Cricetulus griseus: one gene and its partners. The protein of the gene in region 1 interacts with the protein of each later gene in a pairwise test. Links are inferred from orthologs where the notes say so. Each region holds a gene or a part of one and is shown in the gene's direction. Other genes may lie near its edges.

The links.
Region 2: the proteins of Atp6v1d (region 1) and Vps52 interact in binary tests that used the Homo sapiens proteins (3 or more experiments, as listed by UniProt). The two-hybrid records come from large-scale screens. The link is inferred for Cricetulus griseus from reciprocal best matches to the Homo sapiens genes ATP6V1D and VPS52.
Region 3: the proteins of Atp6v1d (region 1) and CUNH9orf16 interact in binary tests that used the Homo sapiens proteins (3 or more experiments, as listed by UniProt). The two-hybrid records come from large-scale screens. The link is inferred for Cricetulus griseus from reciprocal best matches to the Homo sapiens genes ATP6V1D and BBLN.

What each region holds. Positions count from the first base shown.
Region 1 is NC_048598.1:124,781,147-124,785,901, forward strand, and holds the start of Atp6v1d (V-type proton ATPase subunit D), read left to right. Parts: upstream 1-1,601; 5' UTR 1,602-1,757; coding exon 1,758-1,798; intron 1,799-4,755. UniProt on the Homo sapiens protein: Subunit of the V1 complex of vacuolar(H+)-ATPase (V-ATPase), a multisubunit enzyme composed of a peripheral complex (V1) that hydrolyzes ATP and a membrane integral complex (V0) that translocates protons.
Region 2 is NW_023276806.1:232,050,336-232,054,545, reverse strand, and holds part of Vps52 (vacuolar protein sorting-associated protein 52 homolog), read left to right. Parts: intron 1-1,242; coding exon 1,243-1,376; intron 1,377-1,686; coding exon 1,687-1,842; intron 1,843-2,255; coding exon 2,256-2,374; intron 2,375-2,688; coding exon 2,689-2,812; intron 2,813-2,967; coding exon 2,968-3,063; intron 3,064-3,152; coding exon 3,153-3,260; intron 3,261-3,418; coding exon 3,419-3,484; intron 3,485-3,962; coding exon 3,963-4,074; intron 4,075-4,210. UniProt on the Homo sapiens protein: Acts as a component of the GARP complex that is involved in retrograde transport from early and late endosomes to the trans-Golgi network (TGN).
Region 3 is NC_048599.1:144,111,943-144,116,652, reverse strand, and holds the start of CUNH9orf16 (UPF0184 protein C9orf16 homolog), read left to right. Parts: upstream 1-1,571; 5' UTR 1,572-1,682; coding exon 1,683-1,761; intron 1,762-2,515; exon of another isoform or gene 2,516-2,849; coding exon of another isoform or gene 2,850-2,870; intron 2,871-4,210; coding exon 4,211-4,321; intron 4,322-4,403; coding exon 4,404-4,576; 3' UTR 4,577-4,710. UniProt on the Homo sapiens protein: Essential for intermediate filament organization in intestinal cells, interacts with intermediate filament and regulates intestinal lumen morphology.

The sequences.
Region 1 (4,755 bases):
TAGGTTTGTCTTCTAGAGCCAGTACAGTGTCAAGTCACCATAGTGGACACAGGAATGAGTACTCCAAAATAAAGTGAACTGTGTTGGGAAAGGACTTGTTCAGCTCTGAAGTTTACCAGTACAACCACACCTCCTGAGAGTCAGCGCCTGTCATCCTGCGTCATAAGCACTGAAAAAAAGGCACTACTATTTCATGTAATGCTGAGAACAGTGGAGTTCCCTGCCTCACAACAGCAACTTAATGAGGAGAAAAATCAAGACTTCGGGGATGCACCCTTTCTTCAAGAAACAATGCCTTTTCTTCCGTAATGAAAATGGAAGCATCCTAAATTTGCCTTAATACCAGGCTTATAGCTTCCATAATTAAAAAAGATGCCAGTTCTCTTCGGGCAGTAGTAAAAACAGGGCCAGTAAGCCCCGATATGGCCTGGTCTTTCAATTCCAGGGATGATTTCACGCTCCCGAAACGCATAACTAGAACGAAAACTTCACAATCTTCAACTTTAATGGTCATATTATGGACTACCTTGAACCTGCTTTAAAAAAAAAAAAACTTAAACATGGTGATCTACCTATCCTACTGGTTCTTTAGCGAAAACCTCAGTGTCCACAGAGTCAGGGGAAAGTTTTGGTGTATCCTGGGGCGGAAAAGGAGGGTGGAAAAAAGTCCAAATTCCCAGGCCCGGTAAAAGCAAAGCGCCCAATCGTCCCGAGCCAGGTAAGGCTGGGGTGTCGCGGCGTCCCCCCGAGGCCTCCCCGCCAGAAGGTCTAAGAATCTAGGGGCCACGTTTCTCCGCGGGTCCCTCCGCCCCAACAACCCACGTTTGTGGTTCGCAGCACTAGACACCCGACCGGCGAGAAGACCCAGGGAAGAACCGGCGGGCGGGGACCACGGGGTCCGGGCACTTCCCGCGCACGGACGGGGACCGGGGCTGATAGCCTGGGGCCTAGCCTCGCTCGACCACTCCTGTCACGGAACACAACGAAAGTGAATTCCCGGGGAGAGCGAGGCGCGGGGCCAGTCACCTGCGGTGTAGGTGTGAATCCCGAACTAGGGTCCCACGCCGCGCTCCTTAATGGCAACGAAGAGACTCGGCACAGCAGCCCCGGACGCCGAACCTCCTCAGCGTGCGCTTCGCTCAGCCCAGCGCGCATGCGGCCCCGCCTCTCACTGCGCAAGCGCCGACAGAAAAGGCCCTTCGTCACCACGACCATAGAGTCGTGGTCCTCCAAATGCGAGCGGTGTGAACCGCAGGGCGGCCTGAAAAATCCGCGTCCTCGGCGCTCGGTAGATTTTGCGGAGAGAACTTGCAGGGCTTAAAGAAGAGGACAGAGCCGGCTTCTTGCTCCAGAATGGTTACGTTTAAATTTTAGTCCACCGACAGACGGCGCTGTAACGAAAGACGGGAAGCCGAGGAAGGGGAGGGGCGTGATCTTCTGATTCGTCACTCGGAGCATGCTGCAACCTGCACCGGCGAGCCGCCGGCGGGAGGGGCTGTGGAGGGACCCGGAATTCCGGGCTGTGCGCGCCTCCACATCCGGGCGTCCCTCGCGTCCAGCCCTCTCCTCCCTCTCAGTCCTCTCGCAGTAGGAACCGGAAGTAGGGACCGGTATTCCGTAGCCTCTTAGCAACGCGAGAGGGTCAAGTGACACCGTCAGCTGACTCCCGTGGTGGAGGACGCTGTGGTAGCCAGTTCTGGCGGTGTTGCAGTCACGATTGCTCGGCTGGGGGCCCGAGCCGAACAGTCACCGTTAGGATGTCGGGCAAAGACCGGATTGAAATCTTCCCGTCGCGAATGTAAGTGAAAGAATAGGACAAGTGGCTCCAGGGTCAGGAACACCTTCCCGGAGCGCATCCCTGCGAGCCCTCGGCCGCCAGCGAGCTTCCCTGCTTTCTGGGCCGCTCAAGAGCTTCCCCCAGGGTCCTTCTGCCCCCTCGTCTGCTCCTCCTGAGGGAACAGACTGGGGAAAGTGTGGTTCCAGTCCAAACGAAAGAGGGTCCGCCTGCTGGGCTTTCCTCATTTTCCCCACACACAGTTTACATAACTGAGTCATCACCATCTTTGCCTCACAGTGCTGAGGGGAGACGGAGAAGCAAAGGTGGTTTTGACCAAAGCTGTCAGACGGAATGGAAGCGTATAGACAGCCCCTAAGCCGAAGTGGCATTGTATGAGTCGACCTAGCACAGCTGTCGGTTTTAATCTTGGATCCCGTCCAATGTCACCTGCCGTGGGAACAGACAGACCCGCGCTCCCGAAGCACCCCTTCAACCTCGTGATAACTGTATTCTTTTCTACCTCTAGCAGTGTCACTCAAGACGTTGTCAATCGGATATTTGTGTGGTGGGATCTTCTCTCCCACCAATCTATGAGCTATCTCCTGGATGAGGGAGGCATCTTTAAATGCATAGGAGGTCCACAGAAATGTTCCTTGAATCCCCGCCTTGGGATCAGCTCAGTTGCAGGCTGCCTTTCTGTTTTGGTCTGACAGCTTTGTCAGGGGAAAATGGCGTTTGTAAAGGAAATTTTGAAGTTTTCCTCAAATATGCATAATAACTTACAGATTGTTCTTATTTGTGTTCTCTTGTTTCTGAAAAAGGAAGTCAGTTTTTACTCTGATCTATAGGTCTTTTCATTGAGCTTCTGTATTGGGGTGGGTGGGGTATGTGTGTGACACTGTAATGTTTTCCTCATCCTTTTTCTTTCCTCCTCACAGACTCCGAAGACTCTTTAGTTATATTTAAACCTTAGACTGAATTTCTGTCTCTGCCAGGGCATGTGTAGTTCTGAATGAGTGAAAGACTTTTAATTATTATTATTATTTTGGTTTTTTTTTTTTTTGAGACAGGGTTTCTCTGTATTGCTTTGCAGGTTATCCTGGAACTCGCTCTGTAGACAAGGCTTTCCTCAAACTCACAGAGATCTGCTTGCCTCTGCCTCCCAAGTGCTGTGATTAAAGGCATGCACCACTAACGCCTGGCTTTAATAATTTTTTTAAAAACCCTTTTAGCCTTCACCTCACTGACTTTGAAATGGCAGATTGTACTAACTGTACAAATGGGCTAGTTGTGGAGAAATGCAAGGCCTGTGAAACAGATAAAGATCCAGACTTCCCTAGGGGGTGATTTCCAAACTCAACATGTAATGTAAGCTTTACTGAGACACCAACATGGCTTCTAGAAACCAGTGGCAGAGTTCTTGCCTAGCACACACAAGGCCCTGGGTTGAATCCTCCAACTCCTCAAAAGTAAAATTAACCATTGCTGCCTGAGGCAAACAAAACTCAAAGCTGACACAAGTAAATACTTGTGTCAGCTAACACCTGATCCTAGACCTCTCTTCCACAGAACATATATTAATGGGTATATCCAATTGGATATATATTTTGTATAAATCATGTGTCAGGGACCTAAGAGAACCCTTCTTTGAAAGGCAATGGACCAGAAGGATGATGTCTCTGTGTCTCTGTGGGAGACTAGAATCCTAATTTGTCTGTCATCAAGCAGATGCAGCTGACCCAGTCAGGGGTAGACTCACCAATCTTAGTGATTTTCATTTTTCATCTTCTTTAAAACACCCAGGCATATCTTCATGTACCAGAATGGAGCTCACTTTTTTTTGTTTTTTTGTTTTTTTTGCCTTGCTGTCAGTGGTCTCACTCTTTCAAATAATGTCTGGCCATATTTAATCACTATTCATAATGCTGATGCGTTTTTATTATCACTTTGGAACTTTTAATTTAGGACTAGGAGCTTCTTTGGGCTTAGGCAAGAAAAAGGATAGTTGTGTGAGGGTGAAAACTGTTATTTGAGAACATTCAGCTGGTCTAGAGGAAGTCGGGTGTAGGAAGTAAATATTTTTTCCACAGCTTGACAGCAGGTTATTTGTCATACAGTGAGATGTGTTTGATTCAGCAGGAGACAAAGTCACTATTTTAGCTGAAGGTCATACTTCTTGTTTCTTTGTTCTTTTCTTCTAAGGCTGAGCAGCTCTGTAACAGAAAGGAACAGGCTTAACAGCTCTAGGCTAGATCACACAGTACTGATTGTGACTCTATTTGCATACATTTGGTGCTGTTGTCTGTGGAATGTTGCTTTCATTCAGGTATCACTAGAGAAAATGAAACAAATTTAGGTGGAAACAAAGGAGGCCCAAAAGGCCTAGGGATGTGGCTCAGATGGTAGAGCACTTGGCCAAAATGCACAATGTCCTGGCTTTCAGCCACTAGTACCACATAAAACTGGGCATGGTGGCTTATGCTTTAAGGCCAACATTCAAGAAGCAGAGTCACGGTCATGAATTCAAAACCAGCCTGGGATAAATGAGACCCTGTCTCAAGCTGGGGGAAAAAAAAAGGCACAAAAACTTAGAGTTAATAAAAGTCAGGTAAAGTCTAGGTTCTTGTAAATGTTCGGACAAGTCACCCTTTTTTCCCTCTTCTTCCCTTTCTTTTTCTTTTTCTTTTTCTTTATTTTTTTTGTGGGATAGCCTTATGTATCCTAGGCTGGCCTCTAACTCACTATGTATATATCCCAGGCTGACCTTCAACTTCTAGTCTTCTTGCCTCTACCCCTCAAGTGCTGGGATTACAGGCATTCACTACTTCATATTCAGCTCATTTGCTCTTGAAGCTCAGTAACTGAAAACTTCCTATTCACAGAAGTACAGACATCTAGAGTGAACTCAAGTTTTAGTTTATTAGTCAGTTCATCTATGAGCTCCAAATTTGTAGGTATCTGTAGTGCTACAATCAACC
Region 2 (4,210 bases), on another chromosome or scaffold:
CACCTCCCTCAAGTCAGGCTCCACCTCCCTCAAGTCAGGCTCCACCTCCCTCAAGTCAGGCTCCACCTCCCTCAAGTCAGGCTCCACCTCCCTCAAGTCAGGCTCCACCTCCCTCAAGTCAGGCTCCACCTCCCTCAAGTCAGGCTCCACCTCCCTCAAGTCAGGCTCCACCTCCCTCAAGTCAGACTCCACCTCCCTCAAGTCAGACTCCACCTCCCTCAAGTCAGGCTCCACCTCCCTCAAGTCAGGCTCCACCTCCCTCAAGTCAGGCTCCACCTCCCTCAAGTCAGGCTCCACCTCCCTCAAGTCAGGCTCCACCTCCCTCAAGTCAGGCTCCACCTCCCTCATGTCAGGCTCCACCTCCCTCAAGTCAGGCTCCACCTCCCTCAAGTCAGGCTCCACCTCCCTAATTCAGGCTCCACCTCCCTCAAGTCAGGCTCCACCTCCCTCAAGTCAGGTTCACCTCCCTCAAGTCAGGCTCCACCTCCCTCAAGTCAGGCTCCACCTCCCTCAAGTCAGGCTCCACCCCTCTCAAGTCAAGCTCCACCTCCCTCAAGTCAGGCTCCACCTCCCTCAAATCAGGCTCCACCTCCCTCAAGTCAGGCTCCACCTCCCTCAAGTCAGGCTCCACCTCCCTCAAGTCAGGCTCCACCTCCCTCAAGTCAGGCTCCACCTCCCTCAAGTCAGGCTCCACCTCCCTCAAGTCAGGCTCCACCTCCCTCAAGTCAGGCTCCACCTCCCTCAAGTCAGACTCCACCTCCCTCAAGTCAGACTCCACCTCCCTCAAGTCAGGCTCCACCTCCCTCAAGTCAGGCTCCACCTCCCTCAAGTCAGGCTCCACCTCCCTCAAGTCAGGCTCCACCTCCCTCAAGTCAGGCTCCACCTCCCTCAAGTCAGGCTCACCTCCCTCAAGTCAGGCTCACCTCCTGTCAGGCTCACAGTGGGGATGCCTGGCTCCAGCCCACAGGCCTCTGCTTACCCTGTGTCTGGGATGTAACCTTTGAGGATGTGAGAGAGAGCGAGAGCTCCCCTCCCAGAGGCTCACATCATTCTGACAGTTTTTCACGTGGATTTCGGAGGGCTTGTAGAATCCCTGACGCCCATTACAGGTATCAGGTGAAGCGAGGCCCTGGTTCTGGAAGGGATGTCCAGCTCATATTTAGCTTCCCAGAGTGCTCAGGTCTTGGCTTCATGGCCTGCTTGGTCATTCTCAGTGTTTTCCCTGACTCTGATGCTGTTCACGATTCTTCTCGAAGCCGTCCCTCCGAAGCAGGAACACCATCTTCACCCTGGGCACCCGTGGTGCGGTCATCTCCCCCACCGAACTGGAGGCCCCCATCCTGGTGCCCCATACTGCCCAGCGTGGGGAGCAGAGGGTATGAGGAGGCCCCCTCCGTGGCTGGGGATCAATTCGCCTGCTGCGCTGTGGGGACAGGAGCCATGGGCTTAGGGTGCAGAGGGAGACTGGTCGTGGGGTGGCTGTCATGAGGCAGCAGCTGGAGTGGATGTGGGGATGGCCGCAGCCAGTGGGGTGGGCTTTCCTTGTGTCCTGTGCGCCCCCAGGGTGCCCCTCCCTTCCTGGAGGTGAGGTATGTGTGGGGTCTTCCGAGCTCTGGTTCCTGGGATACACTGAGCCCCCGTATCTGCGGGGTCAGTGTTGGATCCACCCCTCTCTCTGTCCCGTAGTATCCGTTTGAAGCTCTCTTCCGCAGCCAGCACTACGCGCTCCTTGACAATTCCTGCCGGGAGTATCTTTTCATCTGTGAATTTTTTGTTGTGTCTGGCCCAGCTGCACATGACCTGTTCCATGCTGTCATGGGCCGCACGCTCGCCATGACTCTGGTAAGTCCCCGATTCTGTGCTTTTACTCTCCCTTCCCAGGGCTCCTCCACGTCCAGTGGGGTCACAGTGGCAGTATTGAATGCAGGATGTCCCGTTCTACGTTGTCCAAGCCTTTATCTCACAACATGGCCCCCTAGGAAACCCTCAGAACTCGGGGGACCTGCTGCTTCCTCTGTTTCCACAAGCAGAGAGCAAGACCTCTAAATCGCGATCCTTTACCTCCATCCCAGGCTCAGCCCTGGCTTCAACTGTGAGGAGCTTACAGAGTTGAGGCCAGTGAGTAAGTCAGGGCCCCTGGACAAGGAAGGAGGTGTCTCCCTAGCCAGCGCCTTGTCCCCAGAAGTGCACATCCATTTGCTCATAGCCACTGGAACTTCAAACTAGCATTCAGTTGTCTGCCTGCTGTGCCGCAGAAACACCTGGAGTCCTACCTGGCCGACTGCTATGACGCCATTGCTGTTTTTCTCTGTATCCACATTGTCCTCCGATTCCGCAGCATTGCATCGAAGAGGGATGTCCCTGCTCTGGACAGGTCACTGAGCTCTGGTCCTGGTGCCTGCTGGGTCCAGCTTTTTATCTCACACCGACAACTCCACCCTGCCCCTGGCTCCTCCTCACCCGATGTCCTTCACCCTTATCCTGTGTGTGTCCCCAAGGCAGCATCCCTGTCACACACACACACACACACACACACACACACACACACACACACACACACATCCGTGCATACAGACACGGACACACAGGCACACACACACCCGCTCACATTCCCCTGAAGGGTGCTGTGCCCCCATGGCCTGCCAGCACCCGTAGCCTGCTGACCTTTGGTTCTGACTGACCCTGCAGGTACTGGGAGCAGGTGTTGGCCTTGCTGTGGCCTCGGTTTGAGCTGATCCTGGAGATGAACGTCCAGAGTGTCCGCACCACCGACCCCCAGCGCCTCGGAGGACTGGACACGCGGCCCCACTATGTGAGGGCGGGGGAGGATAACAAGGGGTCTCGGGGTCACACGCAGCGGTGGGCTGGCCACTGCAGGAGGAGGGACTGGGGACAGGAGCTGCAGAGGCTGCTGGGAGGTTATGTCGGCCTGGCAGGCTGATGGGCGTCTCCCCTCCTTGGTCCTAGATCACGCGCCGCTATGCCGAGTTCTCGTCTGCCCTTGTCAGCATCAACCAGACCATCCCCAATGAGCGCACCCTGCAGCTGCTGGGGCAGCTCCAGGTGGGCCGGGCGGGGCGGGCAGGCTTCCCAGCATGGGGAGGGGCCCTGGGACCTGTGTCTCTGACTTGCTCTCTGTTTGGCTTTTGCAGGTGGAGGTGGAGAACTTTGTCCTCCGAGTGGCTGCGGAGTTCTCCTCCAGGAAGGAGCAGCTCGTGTTTCTGATCAACAACTACGACATGATGCTGGGTGTGCTGATGGTAATGCTGCCCTCCCCCACGGGGCGTGCCCATGCTCGTCAGCCTCACCAAGGGGGCTTTAGCCCTGGATTCTGGCAGTGTCTGCGGTGTGGTGTGCGATTACAGGAGGTGCTGGGCTGAAGGCTGTTCCCAAGTTCCTCACTCTTTGTCTTCCTTAGGAGCGGGCTGCTGACGACAGCAAAGAGGTGGAGAGTTTCCAGCAGCTGCTCAATGCGCGGACACAGGTAGGGCCTGGGCTTGGCAGGGAGACCTCAGTGTGCAGTCATGGTGACAACTCACTGCCTGCTGCTAGTCTGTCTCATTTAATTTATCAATAAATTAATAACTTAAAAGCAAAAAACTATAACGGTGTATGTATGTGTGTATATAAGTATGTATGTATGTGTGTGTTTACACCTGCTTTGCAGGGCATTATTTGTGTGTGTGTGTGTGTGTGTGTGTGTGTGTGTGTGTGTGTGTGTGTACGTATATGTGAGCGCACTCCCAGGCACATGTTGTGAAACACATGGAGGTCATAGGACAATGTCAGGACTGGGTTCCTTTCTTGCTTCTTCCACTTTGTGTTCTGGGGACCAAGCACTTCTCCCCTCCTCCCCAAGGCCGGCTGCTCTGTGGAGTGTCCCCTCCTAGTCCTCCCAGTCCATGTTGGGGTCCTTTGTTCCCAGGACCCCTGACTCAGTTCCAGCTTGCACTTCTCTCTAGGAATTCATTGAAGAGTTGCTGTCTCCCCCCTTCGGGGGTCTGGTGGCGTTTGTGAAGGAGGCTGAGGCTTTGATTGAGCGTGGACAGGCTGAGCGACTTCGAGGGGAAGAAGGTATGAGACTGTTGTCGCGGGACTGTGGGGAGCTGAGTTAAAAGGACAGTGAGAGTGTGCAGGTCTCAGGGGCGGTGGCACAGAGGGGAGGACTTGAATGGAGGAGCACCAGGGAGCCGGGATTGAGGGTGAGCAT
Region 3 (4,710 bases), on another chromosome or scaffold:
GTATTGAGCTACCATGTAGATGCTGGGAATTGAACCTAGGTCCTTCAGAACAGTGTTCTTAAACTCTGAGCCAACTCTCCAGTTCTCTTATTTTTTTCTTTTAATGTGTGTGGTGTGGTATGTGTGTGTCTGTGTGTCTGTGTGTCTGTCTGTCTGTCTGTGTATAGATATGTGCACATGAGTGCAGGTGCTTGAGGAGGTCAGAGGCATTGGATTTCCTTGGAGATGGTGCTACAGGTGGGTGTCAACTGCTGATGTGGATACTGGGAATTGAACTGGGGTCCTCTGCAAGTGCACTGTATGTTCCCTCTCTCTAGCCTAGATCTAGTTTCTTGTGTTGGACTAAAGAAGTCAGTTTCCCATAACCTTTGCTGCTGTTGGTCTCTTCAAATCAAACTCTATGGCACAAATAGGGCTTTGTTTCCTCTTCCTGCTAATGCAGATATGAGTTTCCCATTGGCATTGAACAGGTTGCAATACATGGCCAGTTACAGCGGTATGCATGTACTCTCTTCCAGTTCCAGATTGAATTAGTTTGAATTAGCTTTGTGGTGTCCATGGGGTTGTGCTCCCTCTGGGGTTCTGGGGAAGAATCCACTTTCCTGCCTTTCCCAGATTAAGCCCCTATGCTGAGAATAGCCTGCACTCAGGACTAGCCAGGTGACACCAGGAACAAGCTGCTGGTGCCAAGGGGTCTCCTGGCTATTACAGATAGAGGAGTCCTGGTAAGTGAGCTTCCCTGAGACACCACCCTGACTCTGAGCTGGACTCAGGATTACACTTCTGAGTGCAATCTACAAGTGATTTTGGCTGGTGACTTTGTATGGGCCGCCTTTTCCCACCCAGTGCGTGGAGTGGGGAATGCCCCAAGCAGGGCTTTATCATGAAGCCTTCTCTGATGGACAGTGTCAAGCAGGGCCACTTAGCACAGACTTTCCGTGGCCCCGAGGGCACCTACAGCAGGATACAGCAAACCCTTTCCATACTGGGAAAGTGACATAGTCCTTGAGAAGGACCTCACACTCCTCTCCAATGCATGTCCTCCCTGTTTGTTGGCACGGGTCAAACACATTGGGTCTATATCTACTATCCAGGCTGGAATTTGGTCTGATCTCCACCCGTTAAGTGTAGCCTTTGAGAGCCTTAAGAGAAGTGATGGGAACAAGACTGGCCAAGATAGGACGAGGTCGTGGGTAATCTAGGCTGCACCTCAGGGAGATGGGAAGAATGCGGATTCCCGGGGACTGGGGAGGAGCGGTGCTGAGAACAGAGTTCTCTAGGCAGCCTTTGAAACCGCCTGTCTGATTCTGACCACGCAGAGGAGCGGAAACAGCAGGACGGAATCAAATAGAAGTCTCAAGCTCTAGCGGGCCAGGGTCTTTACTGCCTGGCTCGCTCCGTTGATCGCCGGGTGGGGGACAGGAGCGGAGAGGGACGCCGTTCGGAAGCGAGAGGAGGAGCCCGAGAGCGGACGGGAGCGGAGCCCTGCTTGAGGGCGTGGTTTGAGAGGATTCGGGGCGGGGTTCTGGGCGGGGCTCTGGGCGGCCCCGGTGCGCCGCTGCGTTCCACCCTTCCGGCACGGCGTTCCATCAGCTGCTTGCACCTTCCGCCTAGCTCCCGCTTTCCGCGCGGCGGTCGCTGAGTTTCATCTTTCCGTGGCCTCTGCGGCGCCCGAGCCCGCAATGTCGGGCCCCAACGGGGACCTAGGCATGCCGGCGGATGCGGGCGCGGAAGGCGAGAATGACAGCTTCGGGGAAGCAGGTGACCTGGGCGAGGGAGGGTGCTGCTGAAGTGACCTCTGCTTTGCTCGGGGTGCTGTCCTGGAATGGGGCCGGGATGGAGGCTGTGTAAGGGACTGAAGAGCCGTCCCACCCCTCCCCTGGGTGGTTCTGGAGTTGTCCCCACAGCCACCTCGGAGGCAATGGCGAGCACTAGTGAACGCATCCCTGGACGCCGCAATACTGGGGAACTGTCGCTAAGCAGCCCAGGTTACATATGGGGAAACTGAGGCGGCTTCAGACACGCTTTATCGGTTTGGGATTTGTTTCAGCCACTTTCTTCGCTGAAGGGGAGCAGGTTCTGCTTGGCCCTGCAGGTGTTGGCCTGGTGGGCGCCCCATATGCTGAGTCAGCACCCAGCCACCTGGCTTTGCTGGTGTGACCCGCTTACCAAGGACTGTGTTGGGCGCACAGCACTGCGGAAGGACTTCAGGGGAAGGGTCAGTCCACAGACTCCCTTTGCACGTTTTGGAGCCTCAGTTTTCCCATCTGCAATATCGGGTACATTGGTGTCTACTGTTTGGAGATGTGTCTGGATTAAAGGGAAAATGGGATGACTGTTCCCATTTGTTCCAGCATACAAGTTCCTTCTGAAAGTGGATAGATAGTCACACACACACACACACACACACACACACACACACACACACACACACACATTTCAAGTCTGGTCCTTACCCAGTGGGCAGGACTTGTGCAGTAAGAATGGAGTATGCTTTTGTTCTGTTATAAAAGCTTTATTGAGCTGTATGTCACACAATAGAGTTTACCATTTAAACAGTACAGTTCTGCAGACTTTCATATATTCACAGCATATCCATTATCACAACAGTTTTAGAATATTTTCATCACCCAGGTTCTGCTCTTAATGAAGGCTGCCTTCCAACTGGAGGCAGGTTGGGTCATTAGGCTTACAGTGGGCAGCCATGGTGGGGACATCATGAGGGGACCTGGTGAGGGGGCAGTGTAACACTGAGTAGACAGAGGGAGGAGGCTATCTGACCCAGGACAGGAGCAATGGTTGGGAGGTACTCTTGACATAGATGAAGCCTAGTCTGGAGACACCGCTTCTCACCTCACCGCTCTGCTAGCCTGCAAGACGTGGAAGGATGGATCATAACAGCTATGCATTAAATTCTTGCTGTGGCCAGACCCCAACTGAGCTCTTGGTGCACTGGAACCCTACCTCGGTGTTCCCTACTGCAATAAGGAGTTGCTGGGGTACAGCAGATCTGGAACTAAAACCTAAGGGTCTCTGACCTTCAGGTCTGAGTTTTGGCCCTGTCACCAAGTAGCTATGAGAAGCTGTTCTGGTTCCTTCTTTCTTAGGCTTCAGTTTCTCAATCTGTGCCATGAGGGATGGACTTTAAGACCCAGCAGTCTTCAGAGGCTCTATCCTCCTTGAGGGATGCCTTCTCTGGGAACCATCCCCCAAAGGCAGGCACGTTTGCAATCATATCCCAGACACCCTCCCTGGGCCTTTTTCTTAAATCCACCAGCTACTTCCCCACTGGTCCCAAGCTGGCAGCTAAGTGTTTCTGAGTCATGGGCTGGCTCAGAACTGTGTCCCGCAGTGGGCACAGACCCAGACCTTGGGTCCTAAAGGACATAGCATTGCCAAGAGGCATGTCAGAAGCTGATGTAGAGGAAAATAGGAAAGACTTCTCAGAGGGGGGAAGACTCCAAGGAGGAGGTATTTTGAGCTGGTCCTTGAAGGGCTGTTGTCGATGAATTCTAGATGGTAGACAGTTGAGCAAGAGCAGGGACTGGAAAGTCAGAGCTTCATTCATTCATCCATTCACTCATTCATTCAGTAAGTACTTATCTGTGTTGTCGAGGGCACTGGGGAAACAGCAGAGAACACAAGACCCGTCACCTCTCCCAGATCTTTCTAGTTGAGTGTGAGGTTGAGTACAGGCCAGCACCCAGATAGTCACAGTAGTGACTCCTGATGGGAAAACTGTGGAAGGTGGTGTCTAGAGGACCAGGACAAAGGCCTGATCCAGGGTGGGACGGCCTTGGTGATATCCATACCAAAACTTGAAATAAGTGGAATTCATCCCAGAGGGAAAGACAAGCAGGGCACCCAGTGTATTCAGAGGACCCGAGATAGGCTGAGCAGGTAGGAGGGGAGATGGGGATCAAGAGGGAAGTAGGGGCTGGGTCTGCTTCAGGGCCCAGAAGCTGCGGGGCACTATTGGGAAGGCAGAGAGAGCCACAAAAGGGCTGGAGGTCACATGCCTAGCACAGAGCCTTTGACTGCCCAGCTCTGGAACCTGGGTTCTGACTTCTAGGTAGCTGTGGAAGGAAACACAGAGGAAGCTTGGCATATGATAGGGCCACCAGCCAGGACACTGGCAGATTGCCCCAGCACCACACTAACCCTACAAAAAAGATGTGCTAAAGATGATTTGACACTTTGCCTCTTGTAGTACCTGTTAATTTCCTGCATGATGACACTGAGAATAAGAAAGTTGTGAGCTGGGACATTGGGTGCACTTGTCTGTCAGCCCTAAGGAGACACTGGACCTTTCCTCTCAAGGGTGAGCTGGGACACTGGGTGCACTGTGTCTGTCAGCCCTAAGGAGACACTGGACCTTTCCTTTGTCTTTTCCCTCCTCCCAGAGTATGCTGCCATCAACTCCATGTTGGATCAGATCAATTCTTGTCTGGACCACCTGGAGGAGAAGAACGACCACCTCCATGCCCGCCTCCAGGAATTGCTGGAGTCCAACCGACAGACACGACTGGAATTCCAGCAACAGCTTGGGGAGGCCCCCAGTGATGCCAGCCCCTAGGTGCCAGGAGCCCCCAACCGGGCCCCACCCTTGCCTCTCTAGGCCATGTTCTGGCCTGGGTAGATGCTACCTGGCTTAGACTCCATCTCAGGTACTGGCCTTCAGATCCCCCAGTGGGTCTACCAGCCTGGACC